2 linked regions of the Neodiprion lecontei genome follow. The protein of the gene in region 2 purifies or fractionates together with the protein of the main gene of each other region. This does not show direct contact. Links are inferred from orthologs where the notes say so. Each region holds a gene or a part of one and is shown on either strand. Other genes may lie near its edges.

Region 1 (17,023 bases), on a different chromosome or scaffold from region 2:
TTATTTTAACGTTTTATTTTGTTTGTTCCATCAATTAACTTCGTGAGATCTATTTCTTTCCGTTATATGATGTATACTTCGAACTAATTATATTATTAAGTCGAGTACTAATAGAACAGAAAGTATTCATAAGAAAAATAATCAATGTTAAAAATGTAGGTAACGCATTGTTTCGGATTCATTGGATTACTCTAATGACATAGATCTCCTGGTTGGTATCCTGTGATTTTCACAATTAAAAAAAAAGTCAGTCAAATCTTGGAAGCTGCAAGTTTGTCATATACCATTGTCAGAAAAACTCTTGCACGAAAAGAATGTATCGACTGTCCAATCCAATAAACAACTCGGCCTACTTCTTTCGGGATTGCTGCTTACCGCATGTGTACATAGTGTGCATTAAGTTTAAATTACGAACACGGGACCATGAATATTACGCGCTAAGTGAATCAAAATTTTAGATTAATAACGTGTTTTGATTAAGTGATAGAACTTGGATCGCTATTGCATTGTAAGTTGTGAAAGAAAAGTAGACGTGACTATGAAATAGAAGAAAAAAAAAGATAAAAATAAATAAAAAATTCTCACCTGTTTTGACATTTGCTCCAACATCATTACTCGACTTTTGCCACACAGGTAGATAAAAGCTAACGGTAAAGCATATATGTAGGTATTTACAAATTTATAGTAAGGAACCACATGATGGACGCTCGAGAAATTTTAACATATTTACGTAATACCACAGGCTTACTCAAATGTAAATAGGGATGGGGTCTGATGCAATATTTCTACGGCTTGCTGGATGTATCCCTATACCAGCTCCATCTCCGATAGTCATCTGCGCGGCTCAGAAGCGTAAACGGATACGGAACTGTCCATGCAGCCTGCTGCCAGTACCACTCTGTATGGATGGAAGTTGAGACAGCTGACTGGACCGATTCGAGTACCCATGAAACCTTCGTAGGACTTTATTGCGTTCAAGTTTTGGCCTGACATATTGTAAACACTGATGCATTGGTTCATAGATGCACTGAAAAGCATTGTATGTATTTTATTAGCATTTATTTACTCCAGGTGTATCTTGTATTTTAAAAAGTGGTATGGCTTCTTCACAGGTGTTTCAGAAGTGCAATAAACTTCTCACTCACATTACTATAATTCTACCCTTGGCAGTTACAAAGAACGATGATAATTCTCTACAATTCATAGAACTCACCAGGTAAAAATGTCGGCAACATTGTGAACAGCCATGGCAGTTATTCCTTGGGCGGTTTGAACTGTGTTAACAGATGAATTCTTTCTGAGATCGAAGAATCTAATATCTCCAGATAATGAGCCTGTGATGAGTCGGGGGGCACCTGTCGCCGTACCTCTGAAGTAAGCACCAAGAACCCAGGCTGTGTGCTCTCTCCATGTCATCACTCTTGCTTCATGAGGTGGAAGCCGACGATCGAAAAGACGCACCGATCCATCACCGCATCCCAGAGCCATCAAGGTGCCTTTGATATTCATTTGAATGGTCAAACAATTTAATTTTCGAACGAATAAACGTATTGAAGTTAGATAAAAATGCACGTTAGCAGTTGCATGTGATTGATAATTTAGTTTAAAACGTTGAACTCACCAGAACCATCCGTGTCTAGACATGTAGCACAGATGTCCGCCCCAGTGGGTATATCTTGTTTCTTCAATTCGGTTTCAGCATCCCAGAGTCGCACTATGCGCACGTCCCCAGTAACGGCTAGTGTTAGCGAGCGCTGTTCCCAGCTGGTGATAAGGCCGGCTGAAGCTGAATTGTGTACTGTTGAACCAGGGACACCAGCTACTTACAATATATAGTGAGATTTGACTGTTCATCACTCATTTTGAATTGAAGTGAAAGCTGATTTGGAATAAAGTTGGAAGTATCGAAAGATAGTTTACAATGAATTGAAAATTTTTTTACTTAATTTAAGTTTCAAGTGTTTCTACGTGAATAACAAAATTATTTTGGAGACTATGCTCTGATGTGATTTTAACGATCTGGCAGGTACCAAAGTGATATAAATTGCAAAATTGAAAATACGGTTTTACCACTGGGACTCTTTGAAGCAGGTTGTGCATCTGCTAAGGCTTGCCAAGCTGTGAGGAGCGTAGGGTCACGACCCAACATGTTACAATAATTTTTCCATATTCTTACAGAGCCGTCATCAGATCCAGTCATCAGAAGTGCTACGTCGTGAGAATTTATGAAACCTAATGCAGTTACACGAGCCATTTTACTCCCGCGGCTTGTGCAGTATGTAAGTCTTGTACCGGTTTGCCAGTCCCATATTCTACACAATAACGAATAATATTAATCCTTCAACTTAAGGTAAAGATGTGAAATAGTTGACAATAATTGTGGGCTCAAGATTTAATCATACTACTTGGCATTGTAAAAATAAAACGGGAATATCAATTTTTCAATGACAAAGTAATGATTTTTAACGACTCCTTAAGTTTCGTTAGATAAACAAAATTTTAAGAAACCTACCCGAAACAATCTTTTGCTGCGACAGCCAGATGCTTGTCAAATGGGTGGAAAGTAACAACTTCAGGAGGTTGAGGGCTTCGTGTATGAAAGACCTGAGACTCTAATCTTCCTCGCGCAACTCTGATCTGTTCCTCTTTTGCGTCTCTTCGTTGTTTCTTGTTTCGAAGATATCTAGTGATTATAATTCCACGAGTTACAATACCGAAATTAATTTGAGATCAGTTTTAGGTATAAAATTAAATTACTTATTACCTCCACTCCCGTTCATAGTGAGCTCTACTCTCTATGTCATTGGTGGATTCTGTTTCACTCTCTAAACTGACCGGTTGAGCAAATTGGGCGCAACTCCATTCGACGAATAAGGACGTTGTCAATGGATTTTTGAAACCCAAAACCTCATCAGCCTCTTCAGTTATCTGAATTTACGCAAGTTACAGTTCCATTTTGTTAAGTAACATGAATTATATCAAGGCAGCAATTTAGAAGCTTACTGTATTAATCGGAGGTGTTTTTCTCGTCCGACTTCCGTGTAGTGGTACCCTTGGAGGGCGTAGAATTTCCGAGGTAGCGCTGACTGTAGGAAGAGACTCTCCCTTACTGGGATAAAAAAATAATTTCAAGTTTGAAAATTGACTATCTTAATTATGTGAAACGATCCTCGTGTCTTTCGTATCAATTTTTACTCACGTCAGAAAGCTAGCTCGACTAGATGGCGACGGGGGAAGGGAGATTGATGGTAGCTTTGCCTCTGTTACCTCTTTTGGTACTGAACATTCTTTGACCTGGATATTCAACATTTTTAGACTTTGCTTTTTATAAAAATGTTATTTGTCAAATTCTGCATCATGTAAAATTCTAATTTGTACTGTTGATGGTGTAAAGCAATTTTCAGCATCATGGATTGTGTTTAAAAAACAAGCACTGAACTGAGAGCTGATACTATGTGTGGGAATTTTACCTGATTACGAATGTGGTTCGTAACTTTCTGAGACATTGTAGCGACCGAAGGATGCGGATCACTATCGAGGCTACAGAGGCCATGCCACAATTTCATGTACACACTTCCGTAAGACAAGCTTGGGAGATTACCAAATGATGATTGACCTGTACAAAAAGTGATGGACAGATTAGCCGAATCTATTTTATCTTGCGAACATATATGGTTTCTACAGTAAGAAAATCTCAAATGTGATTATGAATTTCCTTCACTTCAACTGATCACTAACTGCATGCAAGAAAAGAAAAAAAATTTCTAATAATCCACCAACTCTAAATTAAATTTAGAAAATAATCGCCAAACATGCATCAAGACATTCGGTTACGATATGATTATGTTTTGCACAAATTATTACCGATTGATTCGCATGGTTTTCTTACAAATTCCCAGTTGTTTCCTGGTATGCCAAAAGTTGAAAAGAAAAGCTGTTAGACACTTAGTCTTAAAATAAAACTGCAACTTATTAAGCGAACCGTTCCTTGCAATAACAAGTAACGTCATCAATTTTTCTGGGGTTTCAGCTATATTTTATGCAATTCAAAGTTTTGAAACTCTTTTTCAGAGATGCTAAAATAACTGATATAATTTTTATAGACTACAGCTTTCTTCGTTTCAACACCTTTTGGATATCCTAGGAGATCGAGTTCCAATCACAATAGCTGTAAGATGAGTAGAGTGTCCTGATAATCGTTTACTAATTAACAGAGCAAATATGTCTAAAGTTTGGCTCAAAGATTTTCCGGTGTGAATCATATGATCAGACTTGAGTCACTTTTTAGTATATTTATTAATTAGAAAAATTCCGAAGAATATAAATTCTTCAATTACGTGAGCTTAGGAACATAACAAACTTATCTTTAACGCTTTTTCCGATTTGAAAGATGTCGTGAAATTTAATATGCATTTAAAAAACAAAAAAAAAATGATTTGATTTAAATCATGAAAGCAGTAAACAGTTGAAACGTTGTACAAGTACTTTACCTAAACTACTGATGGACGAAGAAGACGATACTCTCTTCATGCGATCTTGGCTAAAATCTGTCGTATCCGTGCCATAAGCGTTATTTGGCGAAAGAATTTTTAATCTATCTCTCGAACCGATCCGACGCATACCTGTGAATGGAGATAAAGTCTCGACGACTGGATCCCGCCTACTATTTTCTTCAGCAACTGCCAAAGTTACAAACGAGTTTTCAAAATGTAGCACCATCCATTGCAAAGCGACGACTAATTCCTGTGAATAAAAACGAAAACCGTTAGATAAAGACTTCCTGGCTAGAAATCACATGTATGTCAATCGTGATATATTTAAACCAATTACTCTATGCTTGATAATATAAAGAATAATTGAATGAATAAGGATAACACATACCTTTCTCACAAGAGGGCTCATATCGTGACTAACAGTATTTATAAGCGTCATGGCGATAATTTGATCAATATTATTGGCATGTTCACTTCTTTTAGTGACACTGTTTATAAATGTTCCTAGAGCGTAGACCGCAGCTGCTCTGACCTGAGAAACAAATCACTTGAGTAAACAACTGAAATAAAATAGATGTAATCTAGGGACAACTAACTGTAGAATAATAAGGTCATTCATAAGGTCATAAGGTCACCTCAGGTATTGGATCTTGCAAAAGAGTGTAGAGTTTTTCATGCGCAATATCTCTGACTCCGCACCACCTAGCTGCATCATAATTATGCCAAAGTCTGGCAAGGCACAGGCATAGCCACTGTCGTAGTAGAGGATTTGGGTCACCTAGTTGCTCCAGACAAATTGACACAAGACTACCTTTCAGAGCAGCTTCCTGCCCTGCTGGATAGTTGTTTACGATACTAGCCAAGACAAACGCAGCTAAAGTTCGGTGCTCGCTCTAAGAAATCGAGCATGAGAAAGATTAAAACTATGATTAACAAGTCATAGAGATTGTAATGCCAGAGGAATGGTAGTAGCTATACATAACAAATTACCGGTATTGTAGGATCTTGAAGAACGGAAAGAAAATATTTATGTCCATGGTCGCGCACTAGATCTGCCTGACACGTCTATAATATTATACTAGTTAGTTCATAAACAATTGATTGATTCATATATAGATATAGTAATGAAACAGACGTTGAACATACACTGTCCACCGCAAGGATTTTTGCCCATATGAAAACTAACAAGGGTCTTAATTCTCTTGCATTGCTCTGTAGTAATTTCAAAACGTAAGGAAATATCCCAACACTTAGGGCTAGGTTTACAGCCCATGGTCCAAGGTCAAGGAACTTTCCAAGCAACTCCAAAGCTCTGAGCCTATGTACTTGGCTCAGCAATACTTGTAATACAATTGGCAGTTGTTCGGGAGGGTTGCGAGACTTTGAACCTAACGTAAGCCATACTTGGAAGGCTGTGAGTTGTTCTTCGAAAAATGGCGAGTGAACAAATAAAGTCTCCGATTCCAATACCGCTGCTAGTTGAGCTAAAGAGAGGTCAAGAGCCAAATCCCAAGCCTGCCACATTGGGTGCTGCACAAAAAAGAAATTCATTTCTATTATCGGCTCAGTTATGGATATGGTAACTAATTTCAAGTGATTGTACCTGTGACTTGTATAACGAAACCATTTGCTCATTATAGACTTAAATATCTTCGAATTGTGTTTTGATTTACTGTCAAATTCAACTGCCAGATATAAATAATGTTAGAAGCTTATCTTAAAAGCTATTACGTCCTGAGCCAGTTCCTTTTTGTTTTTGTAAGAACTCGATCATTAACATAAGAATGATTCGGTCCAAAGTGTTACTCACTTGAAACGTTGGTGGTAGTTTTGGGAATGAAACAGGTGTACAGTCATAGGATCGAAGGATCCTTTCCGCCAACAAAAAGTTTCTAAATAAACTAGCTACTAGTAAGTCTTGTCTAAATAATCTTTGGAACAGATCTGAAAAAGACAAAATAGTCCTTTGAGTAATCAACTGGTATCCACATCTAATGTTTCTAGAAAAAGAGGTATTGATATACCTCTAGGTAACGTATTCCAAGCAATGGTGTCTGTTATAGCCGTAAAGATCCAATTTAGTTCGCCTAGCATCGTCCTGCGATCTGACAACTGACCTGGTATTCTACAAAAAAAAAAAAAATAATAATAATAAATAAATAAAATAAACATCAATCTTCATCTTCATTACTATCATATTGTGTGAAAAATTTAGGACAGTTGACATGTGGAACTTACTTATCGATAAGGTCTAGGGACACCTTAGGCACTAATTTTGATGTATTCTGCATGACGAACCTGTAAACGAGATTAAATAAGACAGATTTATACCAGTCAATTACCACTACAACAGTTTTAGATACTATGGTTTATTCATCTCACCAGCGTAATGCAATTGTAATGGGAGTTGTAAGACAAGCTGTGAATATATCTGCAGGCAAATCAGGATTCATCGGAAGTATTTGACTAGCAGCACAAGCTGCCAGCTGTATACAATTCTTGTAAGAAGGGGCAGTCGCGCTGGCTACGCCCGCCGTCCTATTGTGCTGAACTGCCTGCTTTTCCATCTGTGAAAAAAAGAAAATATAATGTCGGCGAAAAAGTATGTTCTCCTTCCGTAATTTGAAACTTCACTGTACATAAAGTTTTTAAACCGACACTAAAGATGTGTGCATGAAGAACAAAAAATGTGAGAATATAGAACCAGTGATTGGCATTTACAGCAATTCATAGAAATATATGATATTCTGGTCGAAACTAAGATTCAAATTCTTAAGTGAATGAATTCAACTTGAGCAATGCTAGTATTGTTTTCACACTTGAGAGTCATGTATCTCTGACATTAAATATGTAAGTTATGCAGTAATTTGACCTCGTATTCCCGTTCATGCTGTTCAGCAAACTGCTGAAAGGAATCAACGATGATTCCAGCATTTGAACAGTCGTATACATAGATAGAAGGTGCTCCCATCCATGTTTGCAGATCATACACCGACAGAGGAATGTACTGCGTGTATGTCTGAAAAGAAAAATACAACTGGTTAGTGATTACAGTGATATTTTATAATCCGTGGTAATTGGTGATGGTTCACTTATTGTGATATTTGGAAAGGATTTACGATTCTGCAATGAAATATCAAGCTTGCTAGACGACTAACCCTGTTGAAAACCCATATTTCTCCATTGCTGGTGGGTTTAGGAACTCCGTGACCGTTATAGTGGAATAGAACCCTCTCCTCCTTGGCATTGCGGCGCAATGACGTGCATAGTTTTTTTACTTCCTCGACAGTCGGATCAAGGCTTTGCTTGTACCTTGCACGTGGTTGCCATCGCTCATACTGCAGTTGAAGGTTTTTTCCAATCATCTCTAGAGCCTTTTGTGGGCTCATCAACTGTGGGTCTGCCCATAATATGTATCATATTACAATCGGAGTGAAAAAGTATCTGGGGTTGGAATGTTGGTAGTTTGAATGTTTAAACATTGCATGAAAGGCATTAGATTGAAGTAATCATCGACACTACATTCGTTTTTATCGGCATTCAGTATTAATGAATAAATGAGTTTTTGATCAAACATTGAATCAATTGAAACTTCAGTAAAAACCTGCATTATCGACCGGACAAAAGGAGCGGTTACACGAGGCGAGAAAAGACAACATAACCTAAGTACGCCGTGGTTGTTACATAATTGGCATGACAAAGAACGTTGATGTAAATAAATAAAGGAAAGTCATGAAATACCGATCCAACACTCGAGTCGAGCACAGGGTTGAGTTTTGACGACGTCCGGTGGATCGACGCCAACATTGAGGCATAAAACGAGCGCGACGCTCACAGTTTTCATCTGGAAGTGTGACATCATGGTCATGACAAGATCACATGGTCCGCTCGACTATATCGATTAATATTTGACGCAGAATATGCAGCCGATGGGGTTGATATCTGTCAAAAAACATACCCGTTCCTTCATTCGCCATGTCTGCGTGATGCAATTAACCCCTTCAATCGTCGCTGTGTGCCTCGGCTTGTTGAAAGCGATTGGTAATTTCCAGTCGACGTCGTCTGGATGTGTATTATTATACTGATCGTGTTTGTTCCCGTTTCGGTTATCCACGCTCTCCGACATTGTTGGCGAGTAAAATAAATCACCAGTAACCATACATTGATGACACTTCTTTACAGAATCAACAAACGCATTTCACCAATTTTTTCTTCTACAGCTCAAATTATCTCCACGCTATTACGCCTTCGCAAGTTTATTTTATGAGCCACCATGTTGATTACGCCTGTGTTACACGCTACTGTTTTCGTTCCATCCTCAGCTCGGGCTCTTGACATTAAACCTGTCTTCGCGTCGGATTGATTATTTCAATTTTCTCCGACTAACCATCACCGAATCTTATCAACGGCTCACCCATTGAAATCTTTTTTTCTCAATTTTTTCTTATATATTCCCTCTTAAATTTGCTACACGATTTCATGACCACGCGGACGGCGCAAGGTCCACGGTAAGCCACGGTTTTCTCTCTCCCTCTCTGTCTAATTTTTCCCCTGTCGGTAACACAGGTTTCTACACTCTTATGGCTGCTACCCATATACGCATAGGTACACATTTATTACGACGTTTTACCACTCCAAGTTACTCGTCACTTGCATTAAATCTCCTTATAAATCTTCTGTATTTAATTTTGTTTACTCTTTCCTATTTTGAGTTTCTGAACTATGATTCAACGTCTTACAAGGCTGAATCTTTATTGCATTTCGGTGCCGACTTATCATTGCTTCCGTAATAAAAAATGTATAAAACTAGGAAAGATAAATCAATTTTTATTACAATACTTAGAAAATTTTTGATTCTGACTTGATGAATATAAATTCTTTGTGATCAGTTTATTTTTATTACGTAAGGTTTCACGGACATGTCTCCTTGTCTGTTTACAACCGGATTCAATAAATAATTCATATTATTTGTTCGCAGATACCTAAGTGCTACGTAGCTATTTTGATGTATTTGGAAAAAAAATTGTAGAGCATGTATTCATTGTTATATAGTTACCATATTTATGATATTTACAAAGAATCGTGCTTTTCTTTCTTAATCACATATTAGAGTCTAAGAAGTTGATGTCAACCAGTCCCAAAGAAACTGCTTTTGACAATGAGTTTCTGTTTCCTCCTGCTGTAGGACTATTTGAATATCAGAGATTTTGAAGACTATTTACTCTATGATTTACTGTACCATTATAATTACCATATCTTCTACTACCTACATCATTAAGTTTAATATTGCTCAAAGCAGAATGATAACATATGTTGACCAATGTCATAATATCCTTATATTACTGCTCACTCTTGTTTTGAAAGTATTTCAAAGTCAACACCTTAATCTTGCGGATGTTTAAAAATTACACATAAATGTAGATAAGCGAATAAAAGAACCACACCCAGTCGACCAACTTGATTTGAGTACGGCAAAAATAAAATTTACACGAATTAAAATAAATTCAAAATAATTAGCACATAAGTCTTTTCAGTTCGCTTCAGTTCGCGTTTATTCTGTTTCTGGGTGTATTTAATTCCATTCAATTCATTTTGGTTTACTGGGTAGCCTATTCATGTTCTTAAGTTTCTTCGTAATTCAAAAGGTCTTCTGATTATTTCACCCAAGTCTGTATAGAATTTGAAATAGGGTAGACAAATGGTGTCTCTTCCTTTATGTAAATGTGTTATTGACAACAAAAAAAAAAAATATGAAAGTCGTAAAAGCAGCAGAATTTGCTTTGCATCGCATTGAGAGCTGCATATTCACACATTATTATAGTCAAGAGAAACAATTTTATAGATGCCAAATCCTTATTTCTTCATGACTCGGGTGGTTTTGTTTGCAATTTTTATTTTTCAGATGTTTCAAACTCCTTTATTACTGCTTGATAGTCACTCACTAAAGGTTTGCCTTCATGTTCTTCTTCTCGATTATCTGCTGTATCTCTTCCAGCCTGTGTTATTCCTATAGTATTATTGTCTGCTGTTTCACTTTTCGTCTGTTCAAAAATTGGCACTGTTGCACTTCTCGTCATTTCAACTGTATTATCTGAAATAGAAATTTTACTGTACTGCACGGAACTGTAATTCGCTCAATCCATCATTCTTCCCCCCCTAATTCAGAACCGAATTTTAGATTTGTCTGCCATTTTCACTTTTTATTGCATGTGTTGAAAAACTAGGGTGAGGAAACCTTCAACCTCAAAAGTTCCAAATCTTTGAGGAAAAATAAACTTTCATATTTTGGTAATTGAGGGACTGATCTTTTTTTAATTATTTTTGAGATGCAATGTGCAGATAGCTGGACGAAAAAAAAACACAAAAATTGTCATCGATGTAAAAGCGTCCAAATTTTTCAAAAAAAGATCAGTTCCTGCATGGGGGTGGTTTCTGCTCTTGAAAAACTCACGTGTTGACGAATAAAGCGTATATTTTCAATTTCCACAGAACGAAAATTGATTCTTATTTTTCGCTTCAAAATTCATGTCCTTCTTTCTGTAAAATCAAATTTCGTAGATTGGGTTTGAACAAGAATGGCTATCAAATAAAATTTTTTGGGCGTTTTTTTTAAACCCAGTATTTCTTTGTTCAAAAAGTTTGTTCAAGTTAACATAAAATTAAGTCATAGTAATAATAGCTACTTTTGATAGTATCTAAGATATAAGTTATTGTGCATACTTTTTTTTCTTAATTCATCATTTTATAAAATTCACTTCTTAGAAACTTATCCATGTAAATGTCGCAAGGGGAGTTTTTTTAACGTTAAATTGGACGGAGCTATTTGAAAAAATATGTTTAATCGAGTAAAAAACACTACTAAAAAATTTGTCATATTTATTTTGCAGTCATTTTATGGTTTTATCGAAAGTTCAAGGACTCAAACTTTCAATAAGGGAAAAATAAAAACGAATTTTCGTTCAGTGGTACTTGGAAATACACGGCGTCGATATTTTTTATATTTTTTTATAAAATTTGTAGTTCTGGCCTCGAAAACCTTTTTCCTATCTTTCCTTATGAATCACCTGCAAGCCGGAATAACCATTCAAAACACGAGAAATAAAAGTTTTTCCTCACAGAGAAAATGTTACAGGTTTAATACTTTTCTAATATTTCATCACCTCTTATTACGCAAAATGAGATTTGAAAATAGCAAATAAATCTCGATTTTTTTATGCCGGATGACTGAATGAAAGTTGGTGCAAGCTGCCATTTACTTGAAAAGTATAGGATATATGCATAAAAAATTGGACTATTGAATATAATTTATATAAGATCAGATGCGACTATGAGGTTGAAAAGAAATAATAAATGCAAGGTTAGCAGATTTGCAGAATTCACCAGATATGTGAAGAGAACTCGAAATGAGTCGCTATAAATCTAAACAAGTCAGTTACACAAAGATTATAATTGTGCATCATAATTTAAGATACCACACGCCGTTTACAGTCATGTATGCAGATTGTAAAGTCAACGCTGCAAACTTATTACTTCCTGGCAACGTGTTCATATATTTATCCAGCATTGTACTCACAGAAAAGTTTACCAACGATATCCTCTTCGTTCTTTGCATGTCTTAGATTTTTTATACCACCAAGTGATTCAATTTTCTTGAACACTTTTGCGTTCAGGCGTATGAACATTAAGCACTGCCCTTTCTTCTCAAAGTCATTAATCATCGCTTCGATGCACTAGAAAAGTGGGATAACATATTCCAACAGCTTCTTTAAAGTTAAGTGATGACGTATTGTTGAAAAGTATTCTGCATAATAGTTTCTACGAAACATAATTTATTTGGAAAAGTTTATACAAACGGAATTCAGCAGAAAGTATTTTTCTTACCTTCATCCCTGTGTAATCAATGCTTTTGAAGCCATCGCAGTCCAAAACTACGGGAAGTATATTTTTCCCTTCTTTCACTGCAGCCTGATTTGCGTTATTACGTAAAAAATCTACCGCTGGATAATATAATCCAATGTCTGGCTTTATTAGGATGTATTTATCCCCGTCAGCAGTCTGTGGAAAACATAAAAACAGTCGTTTAGTCTCCATATGAGAAAATTTTGCTGAACACATATATTCTGGAAAGCTAGAGTGGCAATTAGATTTAACTGGGAATCTCATAAACCGTTTTGATTATCAAGCAGAGGCGTCGATTACGCACCTTGCATTTTGATATCTCTATATTTGGTCTTGCCCACGCGTGTAGCAGATAGAGTATGTTCAACGTGACTCCGAACAGCAGTCCATATTCAACTGATATAATGCATGCAACGAACGTAGTAATTGTCGCCGCCATGTCTTTTTCTAAAAATGAAATAATTATAAGCCTTTAACGGACATGAATTTAGTGAAAAAAGGAATAGCTTAATCATTTGGTTATTTATGGTGATTGGAGAAATATTGTAACTCACTATTTCCTTTCCACAGTATTGGAATTATGCTCCATTCTATCATGAATATCACTGCGCCTATAAGAACAGCGGCTAGCGAAGCTCGTGGAATGTAATAGAAATAGGGTGTAAGGAAGCTCAAAGCTAACAAAGTCAAGACCCCTGTAATCACAAGAAACAAAATATTCGTTAGTTACTTTATGCAGTTTTAGCTTGTATCATATTTAGAAGACTTACCAGCATAGAGACCAGACAAGGGTGTTCTTACGCCACTTGAATTACTCACTGCACTTCTACTGAACGCACCGCATGTTGGCATCGACTGGACAAGGCTACCAAATATGTTGCACAAACCCAAACTGCGCATTTCTTGAGCTGCATCGACTCCCTTGTCACTTGCTTGAAACAGGTTCGCTTGATTAAGAACATCAGAAGTTGAAATCCATCACTTTTCATTATATTTACAAACAGAATAGTTTACCGAACACTTTAGCGATTGAAACATTAGCTAACACAGCAACTAGAGGAATGATGAAAATTCCAGATCCTAGCTGCGAGCACATTTCGACGAAGGTATATGTTTGATTGCCGTTTTGTGTACTGAACGGAGGTAGACCAAAAGATGGAAGCCCTGGCTCAACTTTACCTGTGAACATGAATTGAGAAAGGAGTCCGCGTCTGTCAGTTTATAGTGCAGAATAGACTTAGAAAAACTATTGATAAACTTACCGGAAAGTACGAAAGGGGATTTGCCAGCTCTTTCCATTATAAACGCAATAATGGTTGTGATTAATATGAGTAGAGCATTGCGACCGATGGAAAGAAACCACAATAACTTTTTCACAAATCTTTGCTTTTTTTCACTCAGGCGACAGCGTAGATTCACATTGTTGAGTCTCTGTAAGAATTAATTATCTCTCTTAGAGGTATGTGACAAAATTTTTCAAACGTTCCACTAATTAAAGCTGCAGGAAAAAATAGTACAAGATTTTCTCTACCCTGAATGTCAGTAGAAATATGATACTTGATACACCGATCAGGGTATCACCAATTCGAATGTCACCAATATGCTGGAATGCTTTAAAAATCTTCTCGACATTGGAAGACGTTTTGTATTCAAGACCAAGCAGTCTTTCTAGTTGTCCGAGAATAATGATCACCGATGTAGCTGAGGTAAATCCTGATGTAACAGGCGTCGAGATAAAATCCACCAAGAATCCTGTCAGAATTAAACATCATCTGTGTCGATATTCGACGTTTACGAACGCAACTTCAACATAATAAAATATGCTGTTCAATTAACAACTTTTATACTATACGAATTTGTTGATATTAACGCTGCAGGCAATTTAATTGTACATTCGTCATTTTTTCATCATCACGAACCGAAGTTAAGCAGTCCAAATAGTAATTCCATGCATCCGGAGAGAAAACCAAGGAGAAATACAAAGTCTATCGGCAGGCCTCGGGTATATTCATTTGTCAAGAGTGACATTAAAGAAGTAGGGCCAATGGATACTTCTTTGATTTTTCCAAAAAATATGTAAATCAAACTACCCGCAAAGGCAGAATAGAGTCCGTACTGTAGAAGAAACTTATTTTCAATACAATGAAAAACGATTAATTTTTACCACATCGCATTTTCTTAATTTCAATTTTGTGCATACCTGAGCAGACACTCCAGCTAACGCAGCGTATGCTATGCTTTGAGGAATCATGGTCAGCCCTAGTGTTATCCCTGCAATTAAATCCGAGACCGCATCGAGGTGTGTGTATCGTGGAAACCATTCCAGTATAGGTATAAATCGGGAGATTTTATCCACGCAGGTTGAAGATTCAACTTTATCCTCATCTTCCTCTTCCTCGATCGTAATCGATCCTTTCATTGATATTACTTTAAAAAATTCAAACATTAGCACATAGCAAGTTGGAGGTAAATCCAAATTTTAATTCCAACATACAGTACCTGGATAATTACATTTTTATTAGAAAAATAATAAAATACCATACAGGGCAGAGCAATCGACATAGTTCACAAACGTTTTGAATATGACTTGGGCTTTTGACGGATATCTAAACTTGATACTTACAATTAGACATTCGCAGCGGTGATACTTGGAATGGATATTGATAGAAGTTTTATGCGAAGAACACGTTGGTATATCACGAAGAGATATAATGATATAAATCGAATGTTGCATCTCTACGGTGTAAGTGCGTCAATAATTCTTATCTGGGTGACTTGAGTCAACATTAAACAGTGAAATCCACGTAAATTCACACCTTGCAAAGCTTCCATTCGCGATATTTTTATGACCTAGAAAAGTGCCACTGGATTGATAAGGTTTTTACCTAATGATAAAAAATACGTTTCCACACTCATGTATATTAGTCTGCATCTGTAAGGAATAGGCATTTATAACGCATTTAACCGTATGTACAGCAGCATTCTCGCCATCCTTGTACACACAAAAGTTTTATGAGTTATGATGCTCGTAAGAAAATATCATCTAAAACAGCAAGAAACAAAGCGATTTTAATGATTTATTGCACATCACTATTTGCACAGCACTTGACAACTGAATTCGGTGACTATTTATAATTACAATCACTATGATGTATCAAATGGTAGATTATTTATAGGAAAATAGTATACAAATCGTGAATAAAAAAAATTTGAAATACTGAATAATTATTAAATCTGCTTAAATAAAATGCATTCGATTATCGTTAAATATCTTAGTGACTTGAATTTATGTGTATTAAAATTCTATCAAAAAACTTTTTATTCGTAAGTAATTTCGAATATCTTTAACTTGATGTTAATACCAACTAGGTATAAATCATAATGTATCTGTGTTAGATTTATTATATATTACAAGTAAAAAAAAAAGCACTCGGTTTCAATTTTAACATAATACTCTGTTATATCGCTGTAAAAATCCATTAACATGCTAATAAAACATATTGTTCTATCACATATGCTTCAGAATTTGTAGGTAAATACGTAACTTCAGCTCTGTTGTGCTTTTTCTCGCATTGAGTTTTTTTTTTTTATCTAATATACAACCGTGTAATTGATATCAGTTAATTTATTATTATAATAATTGGTTTAAAATGACGACCTGTTAATTGCAGGGCGTTCCTTTTAACTAATAGTATCATTTGAAAAACCATAATTTAATATATATCCAAATTATATTATATATTTTTTTCAATTTATAACAAGTTTAACGCAGTTTCTTATTGACTTGGTCTATTAGTTCGTCCACCCTTTGAGAGACCCCGCGAAACTTGTTCGGTTCCGGACCAATCATTTGAATTAGCTGTGGTACTTCCTGTCCGCTGATTTGCGTAAAGCGAGCCAGTGCTTTCATACAACGGAATAATTGCTCCTCGGATGGATTGCTGTTGAAGTACTGTAGAAGTGCCATTGTCAGCTCAACGGCGACGTCATCGAACACCTAAATTGAGAGAGTTCATAAGAACGGCAAAAGTATTGGGTGCCTGAGCCAGTTTCTTAAAAATTGTGCTGAAATGGATTCGCAGTGTTCCTTGGTACCAAATGTGTAGCACGAATTCTATATGTAATATAAACCAAATTTGGTATAACAGGAAAACTGGAAGTAATGAATAGCTGTTCAAATTCACATTACAATTCGAGTCAACGTCTATTTGAAAATTAAGAATGAACATACGTTGGCAATTTGCAAGTATTCAATTCTGTGTAGATTGTGTTGATATTTTGTCTTACAAATAAACTTATTTACAGAAGGGACTTTAACAGCTGTACCTTAGAAATGCTGCCTTTTGGTAAAAGTTGCCGAAGATTTTTGCTTTTGTTCATTTTCTGAAAAAAATATCCAATACCTGCAGAAGTATCTGTTCGAATTTTGATATTTATGCAGCTGAATTTAATTAACACGAATAAACGTATCATCATTTATTGCTTTACATAGTAAAGTATAATAATTGCTGGTACCCATAAGCCATTGAATTCATATTGCAAGCATGCCAGTTAACTTGAATAAATTTTGTAGGAAACTCTATACCCAAAGCAGTTTTAATAGCTCATCAGTTTAGACAAATAATAGGCCA
Region 2 (16,659 bases):
TCGATAATGTATTGACTAATGGCGTGATGATTGTTAATAATGTAATAAAATGTGTAAATTTTTACTATACCATAACTCATCAACTTCAAAATATTTCAACAAATCCATAAATCGTGGCCTAAGGTACCAATTAACTTTACAGTTTGTGAACTTGAATTCTCGAGTTTCTGAACAAATGAAATCCATTCGAAAAATTAAGATGATTAATAATTTTTTCCCTACAAAGTAGAAATGATTCTTCGGTAAACTCATCACTGTACTCCTTAAACATGTTTTATGACTACATTGAGGATACACAAAGTACAATTACATGGGATTTCTCAAATTTCAAGTTAGTTATCTTACAATATGCAAATTCAGTATCGAAAGTTCCATGTTTCAATAGATTTTCCAAGATTATTTTGTTGGATAGAACGTTTTCGTCTCTTGAGCGCCCGATGTAAGAATGTATGTAGATGAATGTTTACATGTTGGAATCTTACGCTTCCGATGGAATTATTTTGTTGCTTTGTTCTTCGCATTTGTTGAATGATACATTCATAAGTTTCATCGTAAACTAATGAGAATGATAAACAGACAGTTGTACCGATAGGATTCAGAAGTTGTTGAGGTTATTTCGCTAGCCACTTGTGACCTTTCATATTGAATAGACTTTACAGATGCTTTATGTAGAATAAGTATGTATGGTTCTGTACAAAATTCGCATACTTAAAATTTGAATATCACTTAATCATTTACTTACTTCTACCCCTAACACAAACTGCATTGATAGATCAGAATGTTTAACAATGAAATAATACACGATATATACAAGATAAATTAAACATTACAATGATTCAGGAAAAGTTGTTTATGACAAGAATCCTAAAAAAAATAATGCTTCATAATCAGAATTAAGTAAACGTTAAATCTGTAAGTAAAGTGTTCATTGCCATAATTGATCGTTACTCTGATCACAACAGAGTACTTCAATTCGTCCAAATTTCATATATCACGGCTCGATATTATTATTTATTTCCATAACGAACCTCAAATTTACTGCCACAGTTAAATTAGCAGTTGTTACTTTAATTCAACTTGGGCAATGTTATGACACTGGCAAACCAAACTTTTCAATTATAATGTCTGGAGACTAGTCCCTGAACCTCATCAAACCCTTACTAAGCAATCATGAGAAAATAACCTCATAAAATCTTGTCACGCTTGACTTCGTGTAATCTGATTTTCACCAGAATGGACACCTGAAAACAGAGTATTTTGAAGAATTCCGATATTGCATATAAAACCTGCAGAACATATCTGAGCATTTTTGTCATTAACTTAAAGTATTACTTTAAATTAATTTCAATTGAAGTAATTAAATCAAAAGAATATTACCATCCAATGTAGCATTGGCAGAGATTTTCGTTATTTGTAGCCTGCTGAATCAGCAAATCAACTTGTTGCTGAACATTAAGCATCTCATCATGCGAAAAATCACGTCCCGTTAATTTGTCTCTCACTCTGTTTATTATTGCAAGTGCTTTCTTATTCAGAGCCTCCGGTTGATTTTTATCTCCTAGATAAAGGTAGTGATATAATATAACTTGCTTGATGCAAAATTTTAACTAGTATCTATGTGCCACAAAAATTTGAGAGGACGTAAATATGATTTATCATATGATTCCAAGTGAACTAATACAACACACGTTATACCAAAACTATTTACGCGAAAGATTAATTACCAATATTCTTCATCTTTTAAATGCAAACTTTACCTCCATTTTCAAGACTGCAAGGAACTCCTTTCTTTGGCAAAATAGCACTGTGAGAATCTAGCATGTCTCCGTGCTCCTGGCTACTACTGGCAGCAATACCCGGGGCATCTGATCTTGTAGCTTTTGGAACTGCGTTGTCCATTAGTCTCCAGTTCAACAGTGGATCGTAAACAAACGCCTCAAGCACAGCCATCAAGCTGTCTTTGTTACGATGTAACACCGACATAACCGATTCACTCGTCCGTCTGTATGTTCCTTCGATCCCTGTCACCTCCATAGCATTGATCAGCATTCTTGTTAACCTGAAGGGAATTTTCTCCGGGAATTTTTCACGCGTCATAGCAACTTCGAAACAATCTCCAAAATCGATGTGTAGAATTTTTCCACTAAGACGATCCAACATCAGGTTAGAGGGATGCCGATCTCCGAGTCCGAGTATGTAACCAACCATTGACATGACAGCAAGGGAACGAGTATAATTCGTTCGGCGATCAAACCACACTTCACTGGAAGGTGATTTGAGCCACAGAAGGCGAGACAAGTCATCCCCATGCGTGTGTTCTAAAGCATGTTCAAATACTTCGACCTTTTGCATCAGCATAAGATGATCATAGTCCGGTGCCATCTGTATAAAATAGATAATTCAACTTTGTAGAAATAAGCATAGATTGTAAGCAGTTTATTTTATCTCACATTTAATATTGATGAAGCAGAAAATATTGTGAAATTGTAAAAAAAAGCATGCTTACCCTCAACATTATTCTGTGCTCAATATTCAGTAGTATCTTTTTTTTCTCTCTATAATCTCGTATCAGCGTATGCAACGTATCGCAGTGAGGAACCCAGCCAATAAGCCCACTATTTGTTGATAGAGGAATTACAGCATATCTCTGTACATGAAACAAAGGAGCATACGAACATTTGAATTTCAAGTACGAAGAAATTACTATTTGTTTGAAGATTTCTTAACTCACTTGAATTGTAAGATTCCGCCTGAATGTGTCAGGATCATGCAACAAAAGTGTGTTGACTAGACCAAATAACTGCATAACACGTTCGTCTTGTCTAAGGTCCTCATGACCTTTCAATAGGAACATATAATCTTTACCGTTGCTACCTACGGAGATAAATGAAAAGAATTAACAAATCGTTCAAATGGAAATACTTTTGTAAATGGCACTGTTTCGATGCTAACCTTTGATGCAAAGTTTCCGAGGGCGTTGCTTACTAGTAATAACTTGCATCGAGCTGTGGATACTGGCAATCTTGATAACTGGATGTCCAGGATTGTAACTACCAGGTACAGCTAATTCCAAATCTCGGCAAACCAACAATTTTGGACTAACATACTGTAATTCTAAACTTGTTAGTTGAGGTAACTGTCTTGATATTTTTCTGAACACATGATAATACAAATCCCATGCCTGGTTTAAGTCCTTCACATTTCCAGACATTTTATACCTGTGGCACCATTCTTTTGCTTCCATCAAATCTCTTCCGTAAGTTTGATTGAATGATGTTTCCTTCAAGGTTTGCGGCCCTCGTTCTAACATCGCATGAAGAGGCTCCAAGGTATCGAACATTCCCTTGACGTTTCGTTCTCCAAAGTATAATCTACTGGCTTCTTCCAAGCCTTCGTGCCACAATTCATGCCACAGTATTGCAACTCTAATCAATTCGTCACTAGCTAATACAGCTTGTTGCACCAGCGTTGGACTGTGTTCGCACATATTTTTTAGTATCTTATTAGCGGCAGCTTTACGAGCGGGACTCGCACTTTTTGAAGCTACTGTTAAGGGGTAAACTAATGCCTGCGGATGAGTTTTACCAATATCAATTAACAGGTGATGAATTAATCTGCCGACTAAGGCTCTAGGAGTGTCTATTCTCGCAATGAGCTGAGGAATTACTTGCAACCAAGTATTGATTTCAATTAGTCTTATTCCTTCGACAATCGCTTCATACACTTCCGGCCATTGTCCGTAATCAAACCATAACGTTAGCAATCGTAACGTATCTTGTAAAGAACTGCCATGTGACAAATTAATAGACCGGAAGAAACCCTCGACTGCTGGTACAGTGAACTGAGAAATGTATTGAGAGCTGGCTAATGCAGACCTTGATGCATTACCAGGTACGTTATCGAGATTGGTATCACCTTGTTGATGTTTGTAAAACAAAACGGTTTCAAAATTTGTATAAGCAAAAGCATGCCAAGCTTTATACCATGAAGGATCATGTTTTGTTGCTGCTGCATAGTAAGATAACACAGCTGGTATAGAATGCTCGCTTATTCCTTGCAAAGCCTCCAACCACTCTCCAAGTTTTAGGTAACACCGAGCGAGTAATCTCTTCCTGGCTTCTTGCTGTTTCTCATCTTCTTGATTTAACACAGATATTGTTGCCGGCTGTAATGACGTTTGCACAAATCTTTGCAACTGACTATAAGCTGCTTCTCGATTATTCGCCATCCACATGTGTTTACAATAAGCAAATGTGACTTGCGGATGCGTTGTTGGCAATGGTTGATCAGGATTCTGAGATGGATCCATTCCAAGCAGCATAACTAATGTCTTATGACATAACATAGGACTGCCATTTTTTCTGCAAAGGCTAGCATATTTCAGCCATGTGTACATGTCGTCCTGTGGAGAAACGACCAGTGTGTGGACTTGAATAATTTTTTGCCAATCTTCAACGACACGTTGTCCACCTTGCAATCTGTCCCACCACATTGATTTTATTGTTGCTCTCCTCTCAGGAATTAACTTGAACTGTATTACTTCTTCTAATTCAGCTAACTTCTGAACTTCCACCATGGCGTTGTAAGCTCTCTGGTAACTTTCTCCAGCCATCGCAGTCAGTTCTGTGTCTAATAAATCTCTTGCACTGTCTATCAACTCATGGGCCACATCATACTGTTCATCATGTATAGCCAACACTGCTCTATAAAAGGCACCGTCCTGGGTGTCTTCAGGAATGAAGTTGACATATTTTTCCATACTTTCCCACTGCCCAAGTCCCCATGCAGCAGCTGCCGCCATTCGAGACATTCTTTGTTTATTTTCGTCATTTTCATTCGCCCATTGTCGGGTGGCAACATCATGAAGCTGCCCCCATTCGCCAAGTGCTTCTAAGCATCTCATCTCGCCTAAGGTTGATTCTACGTCAGTTGGATCAATGTTTAAGCGATCTTTATATAAATCTAATGCCTTATCCCAATTGTGTAACTTCTCATACCAACGTACTTGCACTTTAAGATCTTGTTGATTCTGCTGTTTCATAACATATTCCAATAATCCTTCAGCAACCTCTTTTTGCTGGAGTTTATTATTGATAGAAATCAGTGACTCGAAAACATTGCTGTTTCTGCCTTCGTGGAATTCATCTTCTTTGTAATGCAACGCCTTAGCATAAGCTCGGCAATGCATGGCTCGCTCACCCAGTAACTTGGCATCTAATGGTAAAGGTCCTTTGTCACAATGTTCCATAAATTCAGCCAAATTCAGAATAGTTTGTGTGATTTCCGGTAGGTCGGGCACCATTAGTGCCTGCTGCAAGGTCTCTTTTAACTCCGTTTGATATGTGCTACTGAGTTCAGTCCAACATGACACAAAAGCTGCGTTGAATAAGTCTCTTGGTAGCTGTGAATAAGTTTGAGCAAGCGCCCAGCATGACCTTAATGCCGGTGAAGGTGATTCTTTGAGCAATCCGATAGACAAACTTCGGAGCCATTCTAGCCAATCATCTTTGGAGACTCTGCGCGTGGCTGTCCAGGCTTTCTGTAGATTGGGTGCTGACACATGAAGACGCTTGATGATTGTGGTATCAGAAGATGTCAAAGATAAATCGCGATATTGGCGTCTTGAGTCTCGAGGACGTGTAAGTAAATAGTCTTCGCCATCAGCTACGGTAGAGTCGCTTTGAATTTTATCTGTGAGTACGTCGTAGCGTTGATGAGTGATTTTGTGTTTAGTCATTACCTTCTGAACCAATGGTATAAAAATTTGATACTTCTTTCTAAGTTGAATTAAAAGTGCGCAGAGAGTTTCCATTGCCGGCATCCTTAGTTCTGGGTATGTGTCCAATGTTCTTACTAACGGATGCACTATCCTTGAAGCGAAATCAGTGAAATCCAATGTATCAGCAAGGTCGTCGACAGTTTCCAGCGCAACTCTATTAACCGAAATTGGGCAATCTGTAGCATAGAATAGTTTCACTATTGGCGGAAGTACCAAATGCAGATAATTATCAAGATTGTTTCCAAATTTCTGCAAAGCAAGAAGCAGCTTGACAGTCACCGCACGATCCTTACTGGTATCATGTGTCAGTACTCTCAAGATTTGCGGCATCAATTGTGGTAAATAAATTTTGAATTCAGCACCCAGAGCAACAGCGATGTGCTCCACAAGAAGAATAAGCGTACTCTGTAACGGACTATTCACAGTCCACACTTCTTTAATCAAAGCGAAAATGTCATCCAAATAATTCCGAATGTGTTGTTTAACAATCGCAATAAGAACAGCCAACTGTTGAAACAAGTATTCTCGAAATCCAATATCAGCAGTGCGAACAACGTTCAAAAAGCTAGGCATAACTTGAGAAATATATGGTACGCATTTTATACCAAGGCTTTTAAAAATGAATGTTACTGCTTGCACAACCATGGTATGATGCTGAGATAAGGTGGGTTCCCGAATGATGCGCATGAGAGTAGCGATCGCAATAGCTGGATAATATTCCTCCAGAGTTGAAGTCGACATATTTACAAGCATCTCGCTAGTCGACTGATCTTGACTTGTTTCGGCATCACTTTTACACCTAATATCAGCCATGGACATTAGTGAATCAAACTGTGAATCTATTTGACCAAGGTTCATTTTGTGCTTGTAGGGATCCAAGGCACCTAGGAGTCCGAGTACTCTGATTGTTTCTCTCCTGGTAACTGGTGATTGCTCAGTTTTTAGAAAATTAATAAGAACATCGAGTAAAAAAGGATATTGTGTGTATGGCTTGACTACATGTCCTGTACTTCCAACCAGCTGGCCAAGAACCCACAAGGCGACACCTCTTTTGTCTGGAGAACTGGCATCGACCAACATTTCCAGTAGTATTGACAATAATTCCGGCATCCATTGTTGCATTTCTGCACCATTAACACTTGCTAAATCACCAATCGCTTTAAGTACAGCCAAGACAACACCAGGGTTAGGCTCAGGTTCTTTCATCTTCGGAATGAGAACTTTCAAAATAGGTTCCATGTAAGGTCGAATGAGTCGTGGAGCACTAATTACTAAATAATCGAGCATCCGCGAAGCCTGTTCTTTGTTACGTCCCATACCAGAATGTTCAAGCTCTGTTAGAAATTGGATCAGCGTTTTCCGAAGTGAAGGCATAACGTAGGCTGGATTCATAGTACTCAATCTCCCAATTGTGTAGATGGCGAGTTCTCTGATTTCAAAAATTTCATCATTCATCGCAATAAATAAGGCTGACAAACTTTCTGCTTGAGCAAGATGAATGTCAAAACTTTTATCAAGCGACGCGAGGACACATAATCGCACATCTGGATCAGTGTCTGTGATGCCGACGACTAGTAATTTTCCTAGCACTGTAGAAACTGTATTGGTAACCGTTGGCCCTGGTTGATTCAATGCTAGCCTCAAAAGCCTGGAACATGTTTTCACAGCTTCCAAACGGACCTGAGACTGTTCAGATGTCAAGAAATGGTCAGCGCATCTCCGAACAAACTGGAGTAAAGGATTTCCATCAAAATTAAACGTACCAAGTGTTTTCAGCGCAAGCACCGTCGAAGGAAGGTCAGCTTCTGCAGTTGGAGCTGAAATTGGACTTGTAGCTGACCACGGAGCACCGGGATGTCGCAGTGGTTTGTGCATCAGTACTTGTGACAGCATTCTCAATAATCCTTGAGAAACATCTGGCTTCAAAGATGGTATACTATGAGCTAATTCGCGCAATGATGTTGTAAGAATTGGACTCAGACCAGTGGCAAGCATTGGCTCTAAGAGAACCTTTATATCTGGCCCTATAGTTTGCTTAACAGCATGCCCTAGCAAAGTAATGCAGATAAATACAGCCGGTTCAAGTGTGGTACCTCGTTTCTTACTCGGCGTTTCTTTTGAAGGTAAAGAAGCTTTAATCACTTCCATAATTTCCGGAAGATAAGGTTCTATGCCAGTCTCAACTGCAACAGCAATTAATCCAATAGTTGTAAATGCTGCATGTCTATCTTTTTCGCGGCTTCTTAAAGTGATCAAAAGATACGATATACTTTGTGCCAAGTGATGCTTGTCAAATTTTTCTTTATTGAAAGCAACCAGCCGTGGTAATAGCGTCATCAGCGCGTGTTGTATATGAGGATTTCTTGATAGTTTTTGGTTCATAACATCTGCGTAAATATTATCCAAGCCCTCCTGTAATAGACTGCGACAAGCGGCAGATTCATGAACCGGATGAATTGTCTGCAGAGTATTGGATCGACTTGGAACTGGGCCTGTCCAATTTGGTACAATCGGAGTTTTGAGACGAGGAATGAGAGACAGAATATCATCATCCATCTGTTGAGTAGAGCAATTAAGTCTCTCCATCAACGCCTCATAGTTTCTTTCCCACTGAGCGTTACTGCATCTCAATAACTCGTTCAAAACTAATAAAGATCCGTGAATAGCGGCATCCTTGTTGGACCCTCGCCCCTTAACATCAGCATCATTGAAGCATTGTACAACTTCGTGAAAGCATTCTTTGTACCATTGCGGTTTATGCATTTGCTTTGTAGTTTCTCTTTGAGCGGTGACAACCAGAGCAGCTCTGAGAGCTTCGGTAGCAGCTTCTCGTATCAGCGGTTTGGGATCACGTATCGCGTTGAATATGAGATCAAAAAACGGAGATACTTGTTGAAAAAAATACGTCGGCATCGAGACGGCTAATTCTCTCAGTACAAGGACAGCTGCATGTCGTTTCCCCTCATGCCTGTCTCCGCCAAGCCACTCAAAAGCACGTTTCACTTCAAACTCGACATACTCTGCTGTGTAGGTGCCAGAGACAAGTGCGAGTTTCCCAACAGTTTTTGCAGCCAATTCCATAACTCCAACATCGTTCGACGGCAATAGATTTCTTAGATAATTTGCAAATCTTATAGTACGAGTGTTTATATTACCACCATCAGCACCGATTAGACAAACTATGGCTAGTATACCTCCCTTCTTCTCATTCATGTCAGAACCAGAGACCATTTCTTTTATGTGGTGATTGAATTCGTCCATAAAATTTGTCATCTCCTCCTGGGAGACTTCACGTAGCTCTGTTCTGACGTAAAGAGATAAATCATGTGCCGCCTTAATCCTAACATCTTCGTGCCGCGATTTAAGTCGCTGAACGAAATCCAGCACTTGCGAATGCGTCATGTTTTAAAATATATATTAGTTTTCACTTTTTGACAAAAACGTTCAATTACGAGATGTGACACTTGTTTTTTAAATCTTTACATCGGGATACTACATTGCCCGATGTCCACCTGAAACAGTTAAAAAACTGGTCAGTATGTATAGGTTAGGTTCGAATCACAGTTGCCGTGATGATACGCGTAGTGTGAAACGTAAAGAATTTACGAGATAATAAATGAGAATAACGTTAGATGTAACGTTGCGACGACACCTAAATTTTCTACTCACGTTATTCAATCATCTATTTGGTTAACACGTATTTTTAATTCGCGGCGCAATCACGCTATCAGCCACAAGCGCCATTTTTAGTAAATATAAAGTGATATAAAGTAAATACGTAAGGCAGCTCCCATTATTCATGGTGGCTCTATAATAGATTTAGTGAACTTATTCGCTAAGCTAGAATCTGATATGTGGCCCAGCTTCTATTGGTGAATTTTAACTTGTGCATAGACAAGATTTTGAGATTTGATGCTGTCAAATTTCAGCTCAATTTTCAATTTTTGCTGCATTTTATGTATGATATTTAAATCAAGAAGGTACGTAAACAATTCGTACTTAATGTCGTTTAATATTACCATCCTAAACATAATATATGTATAATACATTTACAGTAATCTATATTTATAAATACGGTATTATTTTCAATTTTGACACTCGGTTTTAGATAGGAATCGGTAAGTCTTTAGAAACTACGGTCAATATTTGGTCAGTATTTAAACACCAATTTACAATGTTTTTAGATACTCTGCACCAATTTTCACCATGATGCGGTTCTGCGGCTACACATCGCTTTTTGACTTCCTCTTGCTGTTCCTCAGTGCCATTTAAAAGCTCAAATTTATAAAAATACGCCCAAGCATCCCCTAAATCAGGATCTATCTTAACGGTGCGATTAAACCAATCTCTGCACTTGGATATTTTATGCTCACACCAAAAAAGCCTGCAACAGATACGATGTATAATTAATAACGACAAACAGCTCCCCAAACTAGGAGAAATTGAATAAACGTGAAATATCTCGCTGAACTTGCGTAATCTGGGTTTCCTACGTACTTGGAGACTGCCAGTAGAACATGGGGATCATGTTCACATTTTTTCAACGCATCAACGCTCTTCGTTTTCCGTTGTGGTCGTGCTTCCATAAAGATTGCTTCAGCCCATAGCAGACCAGACGTAGGACATTCTTGCAGAGCTTTAGCCATCAACGTATTAGCCATGTCTCGCACCCCTCCACCTTTCAATTCATTTCGAATAGCTTCTAGCCAAAGCTCCGCATTTTTCGGATTACGAAGCCGTGCTTTTTCAAGTACAGAACGAGCCTTTGTCACTTGACCTTTACGCTGTTCAAGTTGAGCTAACAAACACCACAATGGCACAGAAGTGGGGCATTTTTTGATCTGCAAAACAACCAGGTAAATTCTCACATACTTCAATCGATTTTATATAAGAAATGATCTGTTTCAAAATTACACATTTCGAACTCTTCAAACTATCACGCTGGAAGAATAACAAAAACGATTTACTCACAGCTTGATTATATGTTTCCAGAGCTTTGTCAAGATTCCCTTGTTGCTCTTCTATTTGAGCCTTCATTAACCAAAGCTTGGGAAAATCCTCAAAAGTTTCTATAGCTTCCTGGAGGAGATGCAGTGCAGCTTCTAGATTATTAAGAGCCCATTCAAGCTTGGCACTTTTCATCATAACTCTAGGAGTTGGCGCTGATGCTCTAGCTTTTGCCAACAATCTTCTGGCACGTTCATATTCGGAGTTCTCTGACTCAAGCTTGACTGCAGCTAACCAAATCTCTTCAGAATTTGGATTGGCTTGGAAAGCCAATGACAAAATACCTCTTGCCGCTGGCACGTCACCCTTGATATAGAAATAATCATATATATTTCAACAGTTACACGTTATTGATACTGAATACGTGTAACAAACTTAATTGAAGTAAGAGGATGAAGTATAACACCGATTACTTACAGCAAGCCATTTAGACTTGGCACCCATGAGCCACAGAACTTCGCTCTTAGGACAATGAGCCACAGCCCGTTGGAGTAGCGCTTCCAAGGACTCCCGTGTTCCGTAACTCTTTTCAAAATATGCTGCACGCAGCCAGATCGATTTTTTGCTGGGAAAAGTTGCTAAAGCATAAGCATACACTGCTCTAGCACATTCCAAAGCACCTTGTTGTGCACACTGCAAATAATTGCATTTATATTGTTCAAATTGACTGTACTTGTATAGATTTATTAAAAATAGTTCCGAAGCAAAGTTATTTAGTAGCTTTTCAGTAAAATTTGTTAAAACTAAAAAACCACTGCCACAATTTATTTCAACTGTGTGAAAATCGATTACTCAGAACCAAATATGTCACCTGATCCAAAGGATTTTTCATATTTAATGGTAGATAATAAACTGTACTTACTGTTTCTGCATCTTCCATCCAAGTGTGTTTCCTATCTTCTTCCTCAACTCCAAACCCGATGATGGACTTGACAATGACTTGACAACAATGGACAGCACCAGCTTTTTCAGCTTCCATAGCTTCTTTGAACCAGTGTTCTCTGTTAATTTCAACTCCGTTAACGTTCAAGGAACTAATTGCTCTGTCAATGATCTTTTCTACCATATGCTTATTGCCATTAGCTTCTTCTAGTTTAGCAGCAGTCGTCCAAATCTGTCTATCCGTTGGAATATTTTCTCTAGCTTTATTAAGAACTTTTCTCGCGTTATCGTAAGTTTCCAATCGGGCCAAGGCGAGCCACAAATCGACACTTGTTGGACAACACTCAACTGCTCGACTCAATAAAATTCTTGCATCTTCTGGTTCTTCCAACTCAACAGCTACTTTCCACAACCGTACTGAGTTCGGAATATGCTCTAAGGCTTTTCGATAAACACGTCTCTTTGCCTTAACTTCCGTTTCCAAGTCAGCTGCTTTGATCCAGATTCTAACAGATGTTGGAATGTGACGTACAGACTGGGCAATTACGGCCTTTGCCGTCTCCGGAGGTTGAAGCCTCGCCGCTTCTAACCACAAGTCTTCAGAAGTTGGATTCACCTCACAGCCCTTCATGATAAGATTTCTTGCTGCTTGAACCTTACCCGTAACTTCCTCTAAGCGGGCAGATGCTATCCAAGCCGGGGGATGATTAGGATTTGTTTCACGAACGGATTTCAAAAGCAATCTGGCCTTTTTTATATCACTGAAAAAAATTTCAATATTGTATTGTAAATTAAATGGATAAACTGGTGAAAAAATTTTTTATGAGACTTACTTGATGTCGCCACCGTAAGTAGGAATCATACTTTGTAGATCCGTTAAGTAACCTTTGGGATCAACAACTGTTTGACCCTCAACAGAATCTGATACTTGATTCAGTTTCACATTCATAAGCGTGTTTCTAGCTTGTCCAATTTTTCGCAAATCCAAGTCACCGGTTGGGGTCAACATACCAGGTGTGGCTAGGCCAGGCATCATGGAAGCCAGTCCATTAGATGGGTCTATACTAGTAGAAGTGTCTCCGCCCAAGTTTCTTGCTAAAACAGAATCTGGCAAAGGCGTAAACTTTTCAGCTCGTGGATTCCGCTGTTTTCTATTACGCGCATCGCCAACTTCGGGAACATTTTTCCATTCATCCTCAGACACATTAACCAGTTCACGCTTCAGATCTGAAAACTGTTGCTGGATTTTAGGCCGTTCTTGGCGATAACGTTCAAGTTCTTCTCTTAGGCGCTTTTCACGATATTCTTTCCGCTTTTCATCCATGCGTTTATCAATCGCTTCATAAATTGCATCTGCTTCTTCATCATCTTTGTCATAAGGATCCTGGATAGAAAAGAAATCACCTGAGGTTCAAAGTAATAAAGTTATTCTATTGTGCCCAGATTAGGAAAATAACTGGCAAAAGGGTCTATATTTCAAGTGTAGATTAGCATATAAAGAAAAATGCAATTTACTTAGGGTAATATGAACTTATGCTGCAAATTGAAATACAAATATGAATTAAATCTATTCGCAGTAATACTGAATTGCTAATACTATAGGAGGTAAACTTGAATCTTCAGCGCTTTGCTCGTCAGACAATACCGTACCTTGCTAAACAGCGACCCTCCATACCCGGAGAATTCGTCATAATTGGAATCGTTGAGATCTTCTTCATCCTCTTCTTCTTCTTCCTTTTTCTTAGCTCTTTTGGTAGGTGGAGCGTGTCGATCGTCACTGTAAAATTTTTACAAATTACAATAATGAGTTGAAGTTAAAACATGATGTCAATCAGCAGAAATTAATTAGCAATTAAAGTGAGAAATCTTACGAAACATCGTTGGCATCGCGAGCTGGACCGATATCAGAACGAGTCGTGAAACCTGTCGCACTGTAAACACAAATAAAAAGCGAGGTTAAAAACGTCGCTAAATCGTAGACGTCAATTTCTCCTCGCCGGTAAGGTAATATTTATGAATTAAAAAATGTATTAATCGAAATTACCCTCTTCCGACACCAGCGACATAGCCCAAGGGTGCTGGAACCCCTAGAAAATGCTTTTTATTTCGCGTTGAAAGCGAAGCTGATGGCACCGCCATGTTTATTACATTCTACACTATCGCTGCGTGACGACACGACGCCAAGCGGTAAACACTGAAATAATGGATTACTTTTGAATCTTCAGCTTTACCCGACACAGGCTGGTTTTGCCAATTCCATCACGAGATACAGCAAATCCCTCGGAAAAATTCGGTGCTATACTTACAATTTTTATTCCCAACAATTAACTTTCAATTTTTATTAACAATTGTTGAAACTATACTGTGTATTTTTCTTGGCCTTAATTAAGGGATTCACAGGTACCATCGCTAATTCACGCCATATTAAAAGTAAATTGTATTCTTACATTCTGATACATATATCAAATTTTTACATGTATGAAATTCAGTATTAACATACAGAGGTCTCGCGATCAATTTTATTTAAATACGGCTGTTGTCGATAGCTTCTTAGCGAATTTGCTCTCAATTATCATTATCCGTACGTAAAATTAATATTGTTAATTAGATTTTGGCACGCATGATAATTGGCCACGAGGTTTTTTGTTTAGGAGTCTCGATTCCCCTTGGTAAAATAATCTGATATATCCCTGGTACTGAGAACTATTCAGACGTGTCATTTTTCAGTTAAATTTCCTAGAACCGATGTTAGAAATCACAGAGCAGTACTTCAGGCTTGAAATGTGACGTAAACCGACAGATCTAGAACACTTCAGCCAGCTTACTGTCGAGACCACTTTCTTCTTTATGTTTTGTATACAGGATGGCAAATGTGTCGGTCTATTTATAATTTAAAACTAGGTGTAAGTTAAATCAAAAATCAAATTGACGGAAGAGTATTTCATGTCCCGCATCGTTCGAGCGGTATGGAAATATTCAATTCCATGAGTGATTAGTTTAAGACAATCCAGGCTACGGGTACATCTACTGTAAAGCGCAATATTTCAATCGAATCAACGCCATGTGAATTAAGTAAAGCTCGCTCAACATTCGGCCTATTTTCAGGATTGTCGGAACGACCGTATTGTACGAAACTTACAGATTTGCAAATATCAAACAGTTTAGCATTATTGCAATTATTTTAACATCGCATCTGATTGTGAGCGACTGAATAAATAATAGTTCGATCGGCAGCCACATAATATAGTGACCGATTGAAGCCTCTTTCCCATCTTATTATTGCCTGCCTTTACATTGAATTCGACTCTTATTGCAATCTGTTTCAATCAAACATATTTAAACATCATTGAACCGGTCAACTTGTTTTGGCTTACACGGGTATAGTTGTGGTAATATGCTCATATACTTATTGTTAGATACGCCTAACAATAGCTGTATACATCGTGCATGGGCGACCGGCTTATTAAGCCGAGAGTATATACATAGAATGTAGAATAAGTTTATTTAAAGCCGGCCACAGACAGTTTGGTGTGTAACAGTGTAACGCCTTCGCGATGACCGGTAGCAGGCAATTAGTCAATTGGTACGCGGACACGAATTAGTGAACTAAATTATCGAATCGATCAATCAACTCGTTCTTCGCTTTAGCAACCATCTATAAAACCGTACTATCGTTGCGGCGTTATCACAAAACTGTTACGCGCATGTCGTACATGTTTCCACACATACCTACACTTACACGCGTTATGTCACGCACTGCATGAAACCCCTATAATTTTCCGCATATGCAATTGCCTGTACCGTTCAAATGTGACGGTAATTCGTACGAATGTAGGTATGTATAAATTAACCCGGAACCGCGGTGCGGACAGACATATACGTGCGTCTTTGGGTCTTGTTAAGACGTCTCGTTCGCATTTGATATAAATGTTAGAAGAAACATTAATCAGACAACCGGCGCGGCGCGAAAAGCCTTTACAGCCGATCTCAACCGCATAACTACAAGTTGAACGTAATCGGTAATTTACAACCAGACAAAACGGCTACGATTCCACCCATCATCCACCACCTGTGCAGAGGATACGTCTAACTTTTCCTCACAGTATCCCTCGTCGCCAATTTCAAGTACCGCTACCGATATTCAAGCATATCTAAACTTAGACCATCCAGCTGCGGTCTCAGATTGTGTTCAGTATTCATGAATTCGGTGTGACGAACGTTGCTCGCAGATTTGTACCTTAATTCCCGAAAGATATTTTGGATTCGAAAATTCACGGGTTTGTACAAATAGTAACGGCATTGAATTTGTAATATATATTTGTTTGTTGAATAACTAGTCGCATTCTTTGAGAAAAATTACAGCGTTTCATTATCGAATAAAATATGGCATACAGTTGGGATAATCGAGTCAGCTTCATAGTAAAGTTCCTTTACGGTTAGTACAATTTTTACATTACACGAGAAACAATAATCGTAGCCGTACATTTCCGTACTACGGAATTGAGGAAGAGTATTAACATGTCGTATTTAACAAGATTTATTCCGCAATCAGACATAGATAACAACGGGGTGCTGGATCAGCATGATTTCGAGTGTATGGCTCTAAAAATGACCCTTGTCGAGGGTAAAGGTGATTTCAACTATAATCACTATCAAGAAAATCTTCACGTCATGCTTTCGCTGTGGGAAGAAATCGCTGAACTTGCGGATTTCAATAAGGTAGAATTTGTAAGTCATCGACATGAATTTTAAGCACGTTGCTGTCTTTCTGTCGTTCTGTAATTGGTAACGTAAGTTGTAACTATCATATACGTATAATGGTAACATAAAATTTTTATATCCATGTGTCACCTGTAGTAAGTTTTTGATAACTATACCTGTTCGTAATTCTTACGATACGGAGAACAATATAAATTTGCAAGAAATTTTATTCCAATCTGTAAAATCATGATCACTCGATTGCTCTCAAACTGTAGTAATAACTTTGAAAA

The links.
Region 1: the proteins of serine/threonine-protein kinase mTOR (region 2) and regulatory-associated protein of mTOR purify together in Drosophila melanogaster (affinity purification with western blotting; 3 studies listed by BioGRID, with this or other methods). This does not show direct contact. The link is inferred for Neodiprion lecontei from reciprocal best matches to the Drosophila melanogaster genes mTor and raptor.

The regions. Positions count from the first base shown.
Region 1 is NC_060264.1:8,291,120-8,308,142, forward strand, and holds the start of regulatory-associated protein of mTOR, read right to left. Parts: upstream 9,020-17,023; 5' UTR 8,653-9,019; coding exon 8,452-8,652; intron 8,338-8,451; coding exon 8,235-8,337; intron 7,894-8,234; coding exon 7,652-7,893; intron 7,513-7,651; coding exon 7,366-7,512; intron 7,061-7,365; coding exon 6,876-7,060; intron 6,792-6,875; coding exon 6,732-6,791; intron 6,619-6,731; coding exon 6,518-6,618; intron 6,438-6,517; coding exon 6,304-6,437; intron 6,024-6,303; coding exon 5,640-6,023; intron 5,559-5,639; coding exon 5,484-5,558; intron 5,387-5,483; coding exon 5,129-5,386; intron 5,026-5,128; coding exon 4,882-5,025; intron 4,744-4,881; coding exon 4,491-4,743; intron 3,907-4,490; coding exon 3,865-3,906; intron 3,617-3,864; coding exon 3,471-3,616; intron 3,295-3,470; coding exon 3,200-3,294; intron 3,110-3,199; coding exon 3,004-3,109; intron 2,929-3,003; coding exon 2,765-2,928; intron 2,684-2,764; coding exon 2,513-2,683; intron 2,313-2,512; and 8 more. Other genes in the region: sodium-independent sulfate anion transporter, read right to left, coding at 10,385-10,584, 12,067-12,223, 12,375-12,548, 12,697-12,839, 12,947-13,087, 13,163-13,324, 13,407-13,571, 13,655-13,823 and 4 more; uncharacterized protein LOC107222111, read right to left, coding at 16,156-16,389, 16,719-16,775.
Region 2 is NC_060260.1:29,833,212-29,849,870, reverse strand, and holds the start of serine/threonine-protein kinase mTOR, read right to left. Parts: upstream 9,538-16,659; 5' UTR 9,449-9,537; intron 9,292-9,448; 5' UTR 9,182-9,291; coding exon 2,953-9,181; intron 2,875-2,952; coding exon 2,732-2,874; intron 2,648-2,731; coding exon 2,507-2,647; intron 2,383-2,506; coding exon 1,758-2,382; intron 1,559-1,757; coding exon 1,378-1,558; intron 1,242-1,377; coding exon 1,226-1,241; 3' UTR 1-1,225. Other genes in the region: pre-mRNA-processing factor 6, read right to left, coding at 9,884-10,163, 10,277-10,620, 10,751-11,092, 11,204-11,419, 11,649-12,429, 12,502-13,052, 13,319-13,445, 13,540-13,599 and 1 more; sarcoplasmic calcium-binding protein 1, read left to right, coding at 16,052-16,103, 16,221-16,396. UniProt on the Drosophila melanogaster protein: Promotes cell and tissue growth, maintains tissue homeostatis and controls responses to environmental stress and aging. Regulates growth during animal development by coupling growth factor signaling to nutrient availability. Central regulators of autophagy.